Linked DNA regions of Macaca mulatta. The protein of the gene in region 3 purifies or fractionates together with the protein of the main gene of each other region. This does not show direct contact. Links are inferred from orthologs where the notes say so. Each region holds a gene or a part of one and is shown on either strand. Other genes may lie near its edges. The genes, in order: BRMS1, SAP30, ARID4A and RBBP7.

Evidence for each region.
Region 1: the proteins of ARID4A (region 3) and BRMS1 purify together in Homo sapiens (affinity purification with western blotting; 3 studies listed by BioGRID and IntAct, with this or other methods). This does not show direct contact. The link is inferred for Macaca mulatta from reciprocal best matches to the Homo sapiens genes ARID4A and BRMS1.
Region 2: the proteins of ARID4A (region 3) and SAP30 purify together in Homo sapiens (affinity purification with mass spectrometry; 5 studies listed by BioGRID and IntAct, with this or other methods). This does not show direct contact. The link is inferred for Macaca mulatta from reciprocal best matches to the Homo sapiens genes ARID4A and SAP30.
Region 4: the proteins of ARID4A (region 3) and RBBP7 purify together in Homo sapiens (affinity purification with mass spectrometry; 4 studies listed by BioGRID and IntAct, counting the BioPlex papers as one, with this or other methods). This does not show direct contact. The link is inferred for Macaca mulatta from reciprocal best matches to the Homo sapiens genes ARID4A and RBBP7.

Annotation. Positions count from the first base shown.
Region 1 is NC_133419.1:8,078,821-8,082,939, forward strand, and holds the start of BRMS1 (breast cancer metastasis-suppressor 1), read left to right. Parts: upstream 1-1,299; 5' UTR 1,300-1,388; intron 1,389-4,119. Other genes in the region: B4GAT1 (beta-1,4-glucuronyltransferase 1), read left to right, coding at 123-314. UniProt on the Homo sapiens protein: Transcriptional repressor. Down-regulates transcription activation by NF-kappa-B by promoting the deacetylation of RELA at 'Lys-310'. Promotes HDAC1 binding to promoter regions.
Region 2 is NC_133410.1:181,801,528-181,805,688, forward strand, and holds the start of SAP30 (histone deacetylase complex subunit SAP30), read left to right. Parts: upstream 1-1,312; 5' UTR 1,313-1,533; coding exon 1,534-1,848; intron 1,849-3,713; coding exon 3,714-3,839; intron 3,840-4,161. UniProt on the Homo sapiens protein: Involved in the functional recruitment of the Sin3-histone deacetylase complex (HDAC) to a specific subset of N-CoR corepressor complexes. Capable of transcription repression by N-CoR.
Region 3 is NC_133412.1:131,422,887-131,427,022, forward strand, and holds the start of ARID4A (AT-rich interactive domain-containing protein 4A), read left to right. Parts: upstream 1-1,289; 5' UTR 1,290-1,464; intron 1,465-1,955; exon of another isoform or gene 1,956-2,452; intron 2,453-2,556; 5' UTR 2,557-2,613; coding exon 2,614-2,619; intron 2,620-4,136.
Region 4 is NC_133426.1:16,538,341-16,542,640, reverse strand, and holds the start of RBBP7 (histone-binding protein RBBP7), read left to right. Parts: upstream 1-1,488; 5' UTR 1,489-1,833; coding exon 1,834-1,849; intron 1,850-1,902; exon of another isoform or gene 1,903-2,241; coding exon of another isoform or gene 2,242-2,389; intron 2,390-2,663; coding exon 2,664-2,808; intron 2,809-4,300. UniProt on the Homo sapiens protein: Core histone-binding subunit that may target chromatin remodeling factors, histone acetyltransferases and histone deacetylases to their histone substrates in a manner that is regulated by nucleosomal DNA.

The DNA.
Region 1 (4,119 bases), on a different chromosome or scaffold from region 3:
GATGGTGTGGAAGATTCAGGATACTTCCAGAGGGGTGAGAGCGCTGGACTGTGGCTTTAGAGAAGTCAGTCTCAGCCCTGTCAATGTCATCAAACTTTGCTGACCTGTCTTTCCTCCTACAGGCCTGCGAGCTGCATGTGGCGGGGTTTGATTTTGAGGTCCTGAACGAAGGTTTCTTGGTTCATAAGGGCTTCAAAGAAGCGTTGAAGTTCCATCCCCAAAAGGAGGCCGAAAATCAGCACAATAAGATCCTTTATCGCCAGTTCAAACAGGAGTTGAAGGCCAAGTACCCCAACTCTCCCCGACGCTGCTGAGCCCTTCCCTACCCTAGTCTGAGAAGTCAGCCTCTGGGCTCCTCAGGCCACCGTTTAGGCCTGACTGGGGTAAAAAATGTCGCTCCACTTTACAGAGGTAGCTGTGGTGTTGAAACACTGGACTTGAATATGGGGTGCTGGGATCGAGTCCTAGCTTTACCACTAACTAGCTGTGTGGCCTTGAGTAAATCCCGTTACCTCTCTGAGCCTCGGTTACCCTGTCTGTAAAAAGGGAGGTGAGAATACCTACCTCACGGAACTGTCGGGAGGCTCAGATGAGATGTTGTATGTGAAAACATTCTGTAAGCTTCGTACAAATGTGAAGTATTAATATTATCGCAGTATTATTATTGTTATTATTATTGTTATTATTAACAATCTTGGGTGGGTAGTAGGAGAGCAAAAAGTATGAATGGGATGGAGCTAAGAAGTCTGAGTACTTAATGAAATGGACTTTTTGGAAAGAAATCAGATGAAGGCATAAACTTTAGTTCTTAGCTCTTGAACAGAAGCCTAAAATTCTTGGTTCTCTCAGGCCTTCGCCCTCAAGGGCTCTAGAGGAGGGAAGACTCTGCAGGCTCCATGGGTGACAGCCTGAGATCTGTCCCTTCAACAGGCTGGGCTGGGTATGTGCCTACCGATGACAATGTGTAAATAAATGCGTGTTCACACCCACAGCTGGCTCCGTTACTCTCCTGAGCTGGGGGTGGGGTTCGGGGCCGGCTTCTCCCCTTGCACGCCATGGGGAGGTGGCAGCGGACGAAGGGCGCCGTCTGCAAAGCACTGAAACAGCAGGCCCTTTTCTGCAGGCCAAAGGCCTGCGCGAATGTCGGCCAGTTACTATGGAGACCGGCCCGCGGTATCCCAGCATGCCTCGGGACCAAACTGTCCAATTGTGAGCACCCCCGACGGTCGCCTCCTGATGACGCACACGGAAGCACCGATAGGCTCTGCCTCCCGGAGAAAAGGGAGCCGCGCAGCGCCTGCGGGAGACCGGCGCTGCTGCCGGTACCGGCAACCACGGGCACCTCTCAGGGAATATCGGTCTTGAGGCCAGAGGCCCCAGTCCCCGCGGTGCGTATCGCCATGCATGGCTTTTGGTTCGGCCTCTCCCGTTAGTCGAGCAGGGCCGGCACAATCTCCTCCTCCCAGGCCGAAGCAGAGATTTAACTGGCCTGATGCGTGCTGGGCTGCGGGCTAGCCAGCGATGTTCCGGCCCGCTCCCGCACATCTAGAAGCGAGCGGGAGGCCCCCTGGGCACCGCGGAGAAGCTGGGTTGACCTCTGCGAGAATGAGGAGGGCCTGCCTTCCCTAGGGGCGTGCCCCGGAGGAGCTGCCATTCTGAAAAGCTAAATTGCCTGTGTACAGCGCTTTACAATGTGCTTTTCCATCCCTTATACCACCGCGCTTTACAATGTCCTTTTCCATCCCTTACCACCTGCGAGCTCCTCAACACTCAGAGCAGGAATGGTTATCCGCTTTTTGCACCCGGGGTAAGATGGGAAGATTGTGACTTAACTCACTTATAATCAGAACCAGCTGGAGGAGAGAAAGGTTTCTGGAAGAGATAGATTTAAGCTGCGTCTTACAAAGTGAATATACTAACAGTGAAGAGGCATTGCAAGTGTTGGGAACTGAGGCTTGATAACGGGAAAGATGAAGCTGGTTTAGAGAACCGAGCTTTTCAAGTCAGGTGCAGATCATTAGTGAAATTGTTGAGGAATATGACTAAACGCTCACCTAGGCCAGGCTTATTATACACAACTTGAACTGGTGTCAAGGAAAGTTTGCTACCATCACAGGGACCTGGGACTACCGAAAAGTAAAAGCTAATGTCTGCCTCACAAAATTTTTTTGTTGTTGTTAAATTTGTATTTGCAAATCCTCCAGTCATCAAGTGAACCAGTACTGTGCTAGGTAAATAAGGTACGTGTGCAGCCCCTGCCCTAGTGAGGCTCATAGACTGATTGGGGGAACAGACATGAGAATAGGCAAATAGATACAAAGCTTCCTGGAGGGAGTGGCGTCTGCAGTGTACTAAAGGACTACAAGCAGTGTCCAGAGAAGTTGAAAGAACACAATAAAATAGAAGCCTGCAGGGGGCTGAGAGATTATCTGCTGAGAGGACTGTTTTCATCCTCTTAGGTGATCTCTTGGCAGTACTTGGCACTATCAGTACAATTACTACTTGGCAGTACTTGGCTTTCTTCTGAAATTCTCTTTCTCCACGACTTCGGGTTTTGCCTCCTCCTTTGTAGGGGTCTCCTCATCTGCCCCTTTGGTAACCCTGGGAGTTCCATTATGGGCGTCTTCTGATTGCACACATTCTCCCTTGCTAGTCGCACCGTCTCCTGTGGCATGAAGAACTTGCTGTATGCTGACGACCAAATCTCTGCAGCTCAGATTTCTCACTGAGACTTAGACCCATGTGCCCCCAGCTGCTTTCCTTCTCTTATTTCTGGGTCTTTGCTACTAACTCTACCTGGAATATTCCCTCAGTAAGTGCAGCTCACCCAGCTGGTCCATCTTTGGAAGCCTCCCTGCTGCATCGGGCTCCAGGTCCTGGTTATATACTCCTCCCTCATGCCCCTGGTCTTAACTCTCCTCATATCATGGTTATAGTGTGCTCCTTTGCCCCTCTCTCCCAGGAACTTGTAAACTCGGTGAGGTCAAAGACAGTCACACTTGGGGCCCCTGCATACCATAGCGTCTGACAGTACCCAGTATATGTTAGATGTTCAATACATGTTAGATGAGTCAGTAAAAGAAGGAATGCTTACCAGTGTTCAATGTTGCCGAGCAGACAATTAAAATAAGCACTGAAAAATATTGGCATTAGCCACAAGGAAGTCACTGGTTAATGCTACGGGATCAGTTTCAGCTGAGATTGATGACATTGAACGACTGGGAGGTCAAAGTAGGAACAGCCAGTGTTCATGAGACCTTGAAAAGCGTAACTGTGAAGTGGCAAACGGAGCAGTCAGGTGGAATGGGTGAAGTTTTGTGTTTCTGTGTTTTGTTAATGCTAGAAAATACCCAGGCACATCTAAAGTTTCATGGGAAGGAGGTTGCTAAGAGGGAGAAGCTGAAGACACAGAAAAGAGAGGGGAACACTGACGACCCGCGGTCCAAGAGGAGGCAGAAGGAGATGGGATTTGACCCAGAGCACAGTGAAAGACAAGGAGATTGTAGCGTTATCTGGAAGAGAAGCCGAGGGCATTATAGGCAGAAGGAACAGCTGAGGCAGAGGGCAGAAGGTGGAAGTGCAGGCACTAGCCATTATATGGTGGGATGAAGTTGCTGGACCGGTAGGTCAAGTCCAGTCTGGTAAAGACCTTGAAAGCCCCAGTTAGGAATTTAAGTCCAGTTCGGGTGTGGTGGCGGGTGCCTGTAGTCCCAGCTACTCGGGAGGCTGAGGCAAGAGAATTGCTTCAACCCGGGAGGCAGAGGTTGCAATGAGCCGAGATCGTGCCACTGCACTCCAGCCTGTCAACAGAGCGAGACTCCATCTCAAAAAGAAATTTAGGTCCAGTCCATAGGCAGTGGAGAGTGCCCCCTGGGCCTTTCCTTTATGTGGATCACAGCCTTGGCCAGTATTCCCAGGATTAGGATCACCAGTGACATCCAAGAGCAGGAGCATTTCCACAGCTCCCAGGCTTCTGTGAGAGGTGCAGACGGCCATTTGCACCCTTGTCACCCAGTATGTGCTCAAGGTGTGGCCAGGCCAGTCACTTCCCTGGCTTTCCCCATCTGGGATCAGGTTGGGTTCAGCTTCCTGCTGCCTCTTTCCCCCTCTGAGCTGTGG
Region 2 (4,161 bases), on a different chromosome or scaffold from region 3:
AAAAACAATTATTTATCACTAAATTTACTTACTAAAAGAACTTGCAAAACAAAACCCTACTGCCTAAAATATATTTTAAAACGTATTTGTGTTTAAGCAGCGTGTATCTTCTGATAAATAATGACGCGTGGTAACTAGTAAAGGCGCAGCTTTCGTGTTAGCCACGCCCATCCCTCGCCCCGCCCTCCACGAGCACCTCCCCCCGCATGCACGCACGGACATACACGCGTACGCGGGCACACACACGTACACACGCGCGCGCCCGCGAACACATACATATAAGCAAGAGCGCACAAACGCGGGCAGCATGCAGGGGCGCACGCGCCTGCCAGGTCTCAGGAAATGCGCTTTCTACTACCCGCGCCGGTAGAGCTAATGCAGGGAAGTTTCTGGGAACAGTCGAGCAGCGTTTGTATTGGTGAGGTTCCAAGTCTCCTTTAAAATGATACGACTCCGCCCTTCTCCAAAACCGTTTGAGGAGAAATGGAAAAGGTTGGGCGTGGAGGTGAAAAGGAGCCCTGTTGTCAGCTGGTCCGTACTCCACCTCAGGAGGCGGCCAACTCCGTGCGTCCAAGAATAAACACATTTCCCTTGTAGGAACATGCAAGGGTTTAGAAACGCCCCCCTGCCCCCCGCGAGGCGTTTGTGAGGGGGACCTGTCACAGTTGAAAAGTCAGGATGGGCGTTTTCCTCCCAGGAGGTGCCCTACTAATTTGCTGCCTCGATAGTTGGTCAAGCCGGGATGTTAGCTGCGGAACCTCCAGGACCGAAGAGCGCCAATTCTCCTGAGTTCTCCTTGGTTTGGGTTTCCCACAAAAGCGCGGTCACACCAAAAGCTGTGTTTCCACAAATGCGAAACGGCCTCGAAACTTTTTTTTCCGCACACGCTCACTTCCCACACCACTCCCATCCCTTTATGTTTCGCCTCAGGAATCGAGTAACTTCTCTGAAACCCAATTCTACGAAATCCCAGCAGCTAAACACAGCCCGACTTCCCTAGAGACAGAGAGAGAGAAAACACTGTAAACCCCAATCACACGCTCCTGTTTTCCCGGTACTGAAAAAAAAAAAAAAAGTGGGTCCGTGGCCGCGCTATGCATGCTAGGATTAGTAGTTCCTCCATCTCGCAGGGCGAAGGGTCAGGGCGGAGCTCAGGTTGACTCCGTAGCAGACAACTACAATTCCCATGGGGCCGCGCGTTTGAAAGAAAGGGGCGGGACGGGAGGGGGCGCGTCGCGCTTGCGCAGTCCCGGGGGCCGGAGGGAGGCGGAGGCGTAGCGGTCCAACTGCTGAAGTCCCCATGTGACAGTGAGCGGGGTCCCGGCTCCAGAAGACGCTAGAGTCTGCGTCCGGGCCCTCAGCACTGTCCACTGTTCCGGGGCCAGCAGAGACCAGCAGGCCCGGGACGGTTGGTGTTTGACCGTGCCGCTAACTTGGTGTACAGAGTGAATTGCCGCTGCCGGAGCGGAGAGAGGCGGAGCGGCCAGGAGAGAGGGGATTTGTGTCAGCGCCGGCGCTCGGGAGCTCGGAGACATGAACGGCTTCACGCCTGACGAGATGAGCCGCGGCGGAGATGCGGCCGCTGCAGTGGCCGCCGTAGTCGCTGCCGCGGCCGCCGCCGCCTCCGCGGGGAACGGGACTGGCGCGGGCGCCGGGGCTGAGGTGCCGGGCGCGGGGACGGTCTCAGTGGCTGGGCCCCCGGGGGCGGCCGGGCCGGGCCCAGGGCAACTGTGCTGCCTGCGGGAGGATGGTGAGCGCTGCGGCCGGGCGGCAGGCAACGCCAGCTTCAGCAAGAGGATCCAGAAGAGCATCTCCCAGAAGAAGGTGAAGATCGAGCTGGATAAGAGCGTAAGTAACCGCGGGATCGCCCTGCCCTCCTGTCCCCTGGTGGGGCCCCAGGAGTCGGGCAAAGGCACGGATTGTCGGCGGGGTCTCCCAGACCTGGCTGCAGTGCGGTCTCGTGGAGTCTGTGTTTGGAAGCAAATAACAAAGTCGCTGCAACTCCGACCGCCACCCCAACACACACACAACACGCACGCTGTCGTTCCCCTTTTCTTTCCCACCCTGCCCCCAGCCTCCCGCTGCCTGCGACTCTCCCGCGCACTGTCTTCCCTCTTCCTTCTCCTCTGCGACCAGGACACGAAACAAAGGGGACCGCCGGACCGAGGGCCCAGAGTAGTTTTCTTGCAGCCCGGCAGCTCTTCTGGAATGGAGGCGCCTTTGTTTCGCTGCCCAAGCTGGTGTTTGGCCCCAGGCGGTGCTAACTCCCCTGGTCTAGGGGAAAGTGGAGGACCTTCGCGATCAAGGAAGATCCTGTTCCTTTCTGTGCTCCGTCTCCTCCGGAGCGGAGTGAGAGGGAAGCCGAGCTCGCCCGCCGCCTGGCAGTGAGCCGGGGCTGTAAACGGCGTTTGCGCTGTCAGCTCCGAGGGCAGCTGCTCCGATGGTGGGGAGCACGTAGCCTCTGCGGTTTTGCCATCCCCTTGGCAGCCATCAGGATTTCTTTTTTCCTCCTCCTGCGCGTCTTTTCGTTTGACCATCTAACAGCCGTTGCTACTTTTGGGAGATCTGGCTAGCGGTAAATGAATAACATGGTATCAAGAACCTACCACAAGTCCTGCGTATTTTTATCTTGCGCTTGGCTTCGAAGTAAATGTAAAAGCCTGTTAGCTCAGTCCGTATTTGTTTCAAATGTTAGTCTACAGTTCGCAGGAGTGTGTGTAATTAAAGTTTTTGAAAAGTTTATTTGTGATACTTTTTTGCCCGTTTAAACAGTTTTCAGTGTTATCCGTGAGAAACTTTTCAGGTGAACTTGCATAATTTCAGATTGCTTTGGGAAAATGTGTTATAAATAAATACATTGATTTAATTTAATATTCAGAAAAGTTGATAACTGAAATTTAAATATAGTTATGAAGTCGATAGCTCATTTGTAAAAACGGATGGTTTTGTATCCGGAATATAATTTGGGCATTCAGTTGGAAAGACTGGAAAGCATACATTATGTTACAAAAATATGCTCTTCTTTAAGTAGAGAAAGTACTGTCAAGTAGCAAAAGTGGGCAGCATCATCTTTCCCCTTAACAGTTAAAAATTCAACATGAACTAATTCATGTCATCCTCACTGCTATTTATTTATTTATTTATTTATGTGAGACAAAGTCTCACTCTGTTGCCCAGGCTGGAGTGCAGTGGCGCGATCTCAGCTCACTGCAACCTCCACCCACCAGGTTCAAGTGATTCTCCTGCGGTAGCCTCCTGAGTAGCTAGGATTACAGACTAGTGCCACCACGCCCGCCCAATTTTTTGTATTTTTAGTAGAGACGGGATTTCACCATTTTGGCCAGGCTTGTGTGGAACTCCTGAGCTCAAGAGGTGCTGGGATTACAGGCGTGAGCCACCGCGCCCGGCCCCTCACTGCAATTTGATGCCAAAACCCAGAGGGTTGGAATTTCTCATTCTCCTCTCCCTCCCTCCCTTCACCCCTTCCCCAAATGGAACCAACCCCTCCTTCCCCATCCACCATCCTTTTAACAGTATTCCAGACTTCTTATGTTTTAACAGGGTTTAGGATTTAAATGTATAAATATTTCATTGTGTTAACAATGGCCATCTTGACTGTCTTTATTTTTACTATCTGTGGCATATGTGTTTTACTAATACATAGACACATTTTACTGTAATCATTAGCAGTGTGTGAAACTTTTCTGTTTCAGGCAAGGCATCTTTACATATGTGATTATCATAAAAACTTAATTCAGAGTGTTCGAAACAGAAGAAAGAGAAAAGGGAGTGATGATGATGGAGGTGATTCACCTGTTCAAGATATTGATACCCCAGAGGTAAATGGAAGTTTTTTATGCTTAATATAAATCCTAAGTAGTGCATTCTGAAACCTTTATAAAAAGATATGAACAATCTTTTAAGTGTTTAAAACATTTGAGAAATCTGAAAATGAAAGCAAAATTAAATATAGCCAGTTGTCATGCATTTACACAGTTTGAATTGTTACATTTTAAATTGACAATTTTTGCGGCTCTGTTGTCACATAACTTACTCTTTTTTGACCTCAGTTTATATTATTAATCCCCAAAAGATTAAACTGTTTAATAATTTATAGGTTTGATTATGTAAATTTTTTAAATAATTTTTTTGATTTTGGAA
Region 3 (4,136 bases):
CTCCATTCTATAAAACAACTAGCCAATTTATACTCCAATTCCACTATTTAAAAATATGTTTCGTTTAACAGAATACAAAATGTTAACAGAACAAGACCAACGTCTATCTTATCGGGGACGTCCTTTTAAGATGTTTTCAGTCCCTGCACAACCAATCTTTCCTTTCAAAAAGCAGCATAAGCCTCGCGCAGAGTGACACAGACGCTTGTCTAAGGTCACAGAAGCACCGTCTGTGCTGGCAAGTAAATTCCTCAGCATCCAAAAAGCCAGCGCTTTCTCCAGTTTCCTCATAGCTTTTTCGCGTGAGGAGCACGCGGAAACCTCTACCCATGCAGAATGTTTCCAAGAATCACTTCTGACCTGTCTTAACTAAGGAGACTCCCATAGTTTGTGCCAATCAGGTGGAGAATATGGCAAGTATCCAAAATGCACTTCCAAAGACAGGAAAGACTGCTCAGACAGAGGCAGAATTCAGAAAATCTCTCACATTCTCGAAAGCCCGAAAAAGCACCGCCAAGAAAGACTTTTGCCTCTCCTCCACCTCTTTCTCTCGGCGGGAGAGGAAGCCTCGCCCCCATTCATCCCGCCCCTTCTCCCCACCCCGCCGCAAGGAGAACTTTTACCATGGCTTCCTGCGGCCCCTTCACTTCCGGTGCCGGTGCCGCTAGGGCTGCGCCATCCCCCCCAGTCAATCGGACAACCATAGCCTCCAACTGACCTTTCTGACAGCTCTGAGACTCCTCCGGCCAAGACTAGGTGCTGTCCTGGAGGAAACGGTGGAGGACGGACGCACAAAAACCAATCTACCTGATGAAAACTCCGTTCCCTTCTTGCCAGAAACATAAAATGCGATGGAGCTACGGCGACCGCTGCCGAGACAAAATGGCGCCGAGAACCTGGTTTAGCGCAGGCGCCTTGGAAAGACCCTGCCCCGCCCCCGTGCAAGCCCCTGGCTGCAATTCTGGGTTCCGTTTCCATGGGACACTCCGCCGCCAATCCTCGTGCCGAACTGCTCTTCCTGACCCCTCAATTCACCAATCAGTGCCCAGTCAAGCACATCCGGAGTCGTCTCTACCAATCATTTCTCAAGACTTGCTTACTCAATAACCAACTCTCCAATAACGTTGGTCTTCGGAAAAAGCCAATCATAAGTGGAAGATGTCCTACCTGCTGTTTTTCGCACCAATCCATGAAGTTTCAGAGCTACATCCAATGAGGACGGCAGGTAGCGAGGTCCTATCCGAAGCTCTTCGGCGTCATGAACAGCCAATAGGAGTTCGTGTAGAAGCGAGTCTGCTCAACAGCTTGTTATTCGGTGGATTGTGGCAGTAAATCGGGGCGAGTGGGGAACCGGGCGCAGGAACTGCAGCCGCGGTTGGGAGTGGTGCTGCCCGGACGGGGGCCCACGGAGGTCAGAGGGGAGGAGGACTCTGGAGCTGACAGTGCGCACTTCACCCGCAGTTGGTAGGCGGGGAGAGGGGAATCGGGGGATACTGAATGGATGAAGCGGCAGTGGCAGCAGCTGCTGCTGCCCGGGGTCCCGGTGCAGTTGGAAGCTTCGGAGGTGGGGAGAGGGATGCTAGGCAAGTGGCGCGGCGAGCGCAAGAGAAGGGGCCAGCCATGGAGCAGCGGCAGCAACTGCAGGAACCGCCGCCGCAGCTGCAGCCGCCTCGTCCGCTTCCCCGGGTTCCCGGGAAAATGGCTGTGGGGCTGGCCGCGCCGCTAAGTTTGCTTCCGCGCCGTGAGGAGCGGGCTGCTTGGGGGAGCCGTTCCCCAACTCCGCGGCGCGTCCACCTCTGCGGAGTCCGTGGCAGGACTCGAGGGGCTGCGAGCTGATACGTCTCTGGGCTGTACAAAAAGTTGAGGCGGGCGCTGGGAGGAGGCAGCGGCTGCTGCGGTGCGGCTCCCCTCCCCTCCCACACCCTGTCCGGGCCACCTCCCCTCCTCCTCCCCTCAGTCCCCCGCCCCCTCCCCCGCGCGGGTCTCCCGGGGCTCTGGCGGCTCCCGGCTGAAGGCCGCGGCCCCTGCCCCTTTGGGTGAAGGAGCGCTTCTCCTTCCTGATATGGTGCAGAGCAAAGGAAGGAGAGCAATGGCGCCGTGACACTCCGCTGCCGCCACCGCGGGCCCGGGGCGGGCCGAGGGGGCCGAGCAGCGGAGGCGGGGCGCGGGCCGAAGTCGGGGTATCCAGGGGACAGCGGTGCGGAGGCTCGGCGGTCGCCTCCGCGGGGGACCTGGGGAAGCCCGAACGGCGCCCTGCCCTTTTCCGGAGCTATCTGTCCTGGGGCTCCGAGTTCAGCATTCCGGGTCAAAGTGGCCAGCGAGGCGGGGGCGCGGTGGGCCTCTGGCAAGCTCCGGGGCGGAACGGGCTGCCCTTTGGCGCGCGTGGGGTTCTCGTTGCCCCCTCCGCTCCTGCATCCTGGCTGCCCTCAGAAGGGGTCTTGTTCCTTGGCTGGTGAGGATTCTGCCCCTCCCCGCTGGCGTTTGTTTACTTTCTTTCCCTTGGTCGCTCCCCGCAGTTGACTGATTCTGTCTGTGCCTCTTTCCCCCTCCCCGTAGTTCTAGCGACTGCGACGATAGCTCGCTGAGCTGGAACCCCACAGATCACCAACAAAAATGAAGGTAAGTGGAGTCAACGCTGCCCCGATCCTCGCGCCTTGGACACTGCCAGTCGTAAGGCTAGTGCCGTGGAATGTCATTTGTTTTGCTCCTCAAAATTGATGTTCCTACTGATCAGCAGTTTCGGCATAGGAGGATGTGTTGAATGGGTGAGAAATGATCTGTGTGTCTAAATGCGGAGTTTGGGCCCTCTCTGTGGCAGTACTTTGGAAAGGCTGGTGCAGCCTTTCAATTGTTGTCCATTCGGATAGTATTTTTAAACACTTCCTGTGTTGGCAGCAACCTTTGCAGAAGTAAAGCTTTTGTCCTGCTTTGGTTCTTTGGGGGATTTTTCGAAAATTTTTTTCTTCCTCAGTGCCAATGCGATTTTGTAAAAGAAAGAGTACGTGGATTAAGTAATTAAGTAAAGAAGGTGTCATTTCTTCTGTGTGTAAAGTGAACTTATGTGGCTAAAATATTTGAAGTTGAACTATAATAATAGTTTCAGTTAAATCTTTCCAGTAAATATTTTAAAACATATACTTATTCTAAAAAGATACATATTCTACTGAGGATGACTGCAAATATCAATATGTGGATGGTTAAAGGGAAAGGATCTCATATAGCATTCTTGAATGCTGTGGCCATTGAATGTTTCAGGTCAGATTTTTATTTGCCAAAAGCATTCCTATTCAATTTGTATTTTTTGTAAACGTTCTTAAAAGGTAGCCAATTCCTGTCTTATTTACTGTTTCAGTATATTAAGCTCTGAAATATAGCATTTTCCCAAACTTTCTCATGGTTTTCTATTTTCTCCAAGTAAATGACATATTTAACATTCTTTAATATTACTTGGGAAAACTTATTAGAAAACAAAAAATCATTTTCTACTTAAAAACGTTATCTCCAAAGTGTACACTGTTAACTTTGCACTTAACAATGTTAAGTTGAACTTGTATGGATACACTTTAACTTCTGAAAAAAAAAAAGGTAAAATGACAGATTGAGATAGCAATCATCCTGTTACTGTAAAGATTAAAATGAATGGTAGAGTGAAATTTCTTGCATCATTCTATGTATCATTCTGGTCATGTCCATTTGCTGAAAGTAGATGTTTCTTAGTAACGCTTGTTTTTTTATACTAGGAAGATCAGTGTGGTAAACTAGGTACGTCTACAGATCTTGAACCATCGGTTCATATCTGCATTCATCAGCTGAATTCAGACTTAAAACCTTTCAAATGCAGGTTTTAGCAAATGAATTTTCCAAATTGATACTCTCCTTATGAAAAGATGTTACCTTTATGTACCTTTGTCAATAAACAATTATATATTGTTAGTGTTAATGTTAGTAGCAATATTTATTTTAATTTGCAAAATTTCAGGAAGCTCTAAATGAATAACTTAGTTTTATGATATGTGTAATATGAAATATTTTTTCTGATTTTTTTATTTTTCTGCTTATATAAATAGAATTTTTGAAAAATTTTGTATCTGGAAAAAAAAACATTATATTTACTCACTGATAATTTTGAATTACAA
Region 4 (4,300 bases), on a different chromosome or scaffold from region 3:
GCGACAGAGTCGAGCAGTTGCCCCCGAAGCCTAAAATATTTACTATCTCGGTCCTGTTAGAAAAAGTCTTGCCAACCAGCGTCCTAGAATATGAGGGCTGTATTGCTTAAACACCCTTCCAACTCTTTTCCCTCTCCAGCCACCCCCTCAGCCTTAGGCACTAACAAGATTCTTTGACCCGGCATAGGGGGAGGGCGTTATAATAATGAACTGTATTGTATCGGAAACAAGACAGTAAATATCTACAGAAGGGAATGTGTGACTGGTTCTGCCACTGACTAACGTCTGGGTTTGCGTCCCGGTCAGAAAAGTGGGCATGACAGCGGCATCTGCAAGATAGCATCTGAGCATGAAGGCACTTGGAAAGGTATCAAGGCAGCAAATGTTCCGGGGGTGCTTTTGCAAGAGGAGCCTCTCTCGGAGCTGGACGTACACTTCGGTTCCCTTTGCACGCAGGCACCTTGGTCGCCTCCCCCAACTCCGTCCCCTCTGCTCCTGGCCCTCATTTTCTTTTATTCCCCTTTTGGCCTTGCAGCCAGTTTTCTCCTCCCCCGATACACTCCCCAGGGGCTATGAAGTTCCCGAGCAGAGCATGGCTCAGGTAAGCAGGCCCAGGGCAGTTCAGCCCTGCTCTCTCCAGCTCCGCCAGCTTGGGGTGGGGTCGCCCTGGGACCCCTGCAGGTGACAAAAATGACTCAGCAGGGGCCGGGGCTGGGATGCGAAAGGAATGCCAGTGCTGGAACAAAATCCCCTGAAGCACGAAGAGGCCTCAAACCATCATCTTAAGGACCCAAACATCGAACAAATTAAAATGTAACAATGTAAATCGGTTTCGGCCCGCCGGCGGCCTGTGCCGCTACAGGCTGCACATTTAGCCTAACAAGGCGGCCCGGCGGCTTTTGCAGGCAAAAAACGCCCGCGGCCTCTCCAGAAGCTCTCTTCCCTCTGAGACCAGCCCCACCTCGGCCCGACCGGGCCCCAGGAAAGGCCAGTCGGCTGGAGGAGAACATTTCAGGGGTGCAGAGAATTGCATGTCCGTGATTATCAGGGAGACTTTGAAGGCACAGTAATCTCTCGAGAACAGGAACCATTTTCCCCTCTTGCTCTGAGATTTTGCTTGGCTAAGCGGCAGCAGCCTCCCTGCCCCCCTCTCACCCCCACCACCGCTGCCGCTACCAGCAACCACGCCCCGCGGGCCCCAAGGCTAGCCGCCCCGGGGCTCGCGGCCCCCGCTCAGCCGGCCAGCCGCGCCTCCATCCACCCCACCCTCGCGCGCCCCCATCCGCCCCGCCCCCTCGGGCCCTCATCCGCCCCGCCCCCGCGGCCCCCATCCGCCCCCGCGGCCGGCCCTGGGAGCACCGGGCGAGCCCTCGCGCCTGCGCATCGCCAACTTCCTGCCGCGGCACGCTCCGCCCACCCCCAGAAGCCCGCCTCCGAACGCCGCGTGAAACCCGCCCGCCGCGCGTCATTGGTCGCGGCGCTGGAGCCGTTGGCTCCCAGACCCGCCTCTCCGCCTCCTCTCACTTTTCCCAGGGCGGATGCGCCTGCGCTTAGCTGCCTGGGCGGGCTGGGAGGCGCGGGTTGAAAAGTCTCGTTCCAAGTTTGGAGAGAGAGAGAAGAGCGCCTCAGACCTCGGTACCCGCGAGCGGGGAGGAGGCAGGAAACAAGGACGCGGCGTCTGGGGAGCACCCAGGCAGCAAGACTGGGCCCGGGCTTTCGACCGCGGGGAGTGTGTGACGCGTTTGGGAAAGGCAGGAGCGCCAGTGGTCGGGCTGCTCTTGGCTAACGAGGGGAGTCCGAGGCGGCGGCGAGGGGCGAACGACCCGACGCAAGATGGCGAGTAAAGAGAGTAAGAGGCCCTGCGGGGCGGCGCGCGCCGGGGCCGCGGGGGGCGGCGGGCGCGCGAGGCCGCGGCACGCGCCGGCGAAAGGCGCGAATTGGCGTGCGGAGCAGGGGGCGGGGCCGGGCGCGAGGCTGGGCGCGCGCCTCGAGGGGCCTGCGCGGGACGGGACCGCCGTGCCGAGGGCTCCGAGCACTTCCGGAGCCGGGCGCGGGGCCGAGGGCTGGGCCCCTCTCTTCTCTTCCCTCCTCCAGAGGCTGCGCTCCCTCCGGCGCCCTCGGCCCCGGGGCGGAGGCGGCCGCCGCCGCCGGGAAGCGAACGCCGCGGCTCCTTCTACGCGCGCGCGTTGACCGCCTCGGGGTCGCGGCCCTTGTCCGGGGGTTGCTGGAGCCCTCAGGCCTATGGCTGCCGAGGCGGGTGTCGTGGGAGCTGGGGCCTCCCCTGATGGGGATTGGAGGGACCAGGCCTGTGGGCTTCTGGTACACGTGCAGTTATCTTCCCGAGTGGGTCGCGCAGCCCCTGTACGTACAGGTCGTCATCTTAGAACAGGTGCGAACAGCTGTAACAGGGTAAACAATTTCCATGTCCGTGTAATTGACTACCCAACATGGTATACGCAGAGGGTATTGATCTCAACGGAAAAAAAGAGGCTTCGTGGTTGGTAGTATTTTCTTCACCTTCTGGAAGAGCAGTTAGTTGTCCGTGTCCAAATTAGAGGTAAAAGGAAAGAGTACATGAGGTGTGGCCATCTTGAGGTGACCTCCAATTTCTGACTTCGATCCATCTCAGCCACTTAATTGTGTGGGCTTTCTCCAAATTTCAGTGTTTGAAGATACTGTGGAGGAGCGTGTCATCAATGAAGAATATAAAATCTGGAAGAAGAATACACCGTTTCTGTATGACCTGGTTATGACCCATGCTCTTCAGTGGCCCAGTCTTACCGTTCAGTGGCTTCCTGAAGTGACTAAGTAAGGGTTTCTGGCAACTTTTTTTTTTTTTTTTTTGCTTAAATTTAACTGTCGTTCTGAATTTCCTAGTTTTGGCGTTTTATACCTAGAACATAAGTATGTAATCAGCCCTTGCATGGGGTGGCAGGTGGTTTTTATTTTCAAAACTTAACGTGATTTATGGGATGATTTCTGGCGTATAGTGTGGTGGTAAAAGGGGAGAAAGAATCCGTTGTGAGATTAATGGTATTTGGAGGAAACACTGAATGTATTTGACAGTTCCTGGGCTCGAATGTAGAGCAGCATCTCTCTGGGCCCAAACTAATGCGTTTCTTTAAAACTTTATTGAAAAAGAGAATATTTACAGAAAAGTTCACACATCATAAGTGTTGTATGGCTTCATAAATTTTTGCAAAGTGAACACACGTAACAGTCACCCAAGATAAATACATTTTAATTGGTAAAGGCAAAAAGACCTTGTCAACAATTGACTAAAGAAAAGATGTTATTGGCTTATGGAATACACTTTGAGATTGCCGTTAGTCTTCATAAGAGTATTCTTTTCTGTTAGATCTACAGTTTCTCTGGTAATAATTGCTGGCATTTATTGAGCACTCAACAGGGCCTGGCACAGCTGAAGAATCTACGTCTTGTTGTAATCCTCACAGTAGTACTATGCTGTAGGTAATTTTCATTATCCTTGTTTTACTGATAGGGGAACTGGGAGTGAGCGTTTAAGTGCCATCCCAAGATCACACAGCTGGTCCCTGCGTTAGTCTGCCTTTCTCATTCACTTGAACCTTTTCTAGTAGGAACTTGACCATGTACTTTTAAAGTGTATTAAATATGGGGCCAGGCACAGTGGCTTATACTCCTGTAATCCTAGCGCTTTGGAAGGTTAGCTTGAGCTCAGGAGTTCAAGGCTGCAGTGAGCCATGATTGCGCCACTGCATTCCAGCTTAGCCAACAGAGAGAGACCCTGTCTTCCAAAGAAACAACAAAAAAGCATCTTAAATTTGAGTGTTGTGGGCATATAATTTAAAGAGGATTAAATGAAACTCTAACCTAAAAAGAGGATTTTGCAACAAGTTATAAAAATAATAAGCTAATTTTGGCTGGGCGCGGTGGCTCACGCCTGTAATCCTAGCACTTTGGGAGGCCGAGGCAGGTGGATTGCCTGAGCTCAGGAGTTCGAAACCAGCCCAGGCAACACGGTGAAACCCTGTCTCTACTAAAATACAAAAAAAAAAAAAAATTAGCCGGGCGTGGCAGCGTGTGCCTGTAGTCTCAGCTACAGGGAGGCTGAGGCAGAAGAATTGCTTGAACCTGGGAGGCGGAGGTTGCAGTGAGCCAAGACCGCACTACTGCACTCCGGCCTGAGCGAGAGCAAGACTCTATCTCTTAAAAATAAAAATAATAATTACAATAATAATCTAATTGTATATAAAACTGCTCTTACAATGGCTAGGTTCTCCATATGCAAACATTGATTTCCATACAGATAGGAATTTCC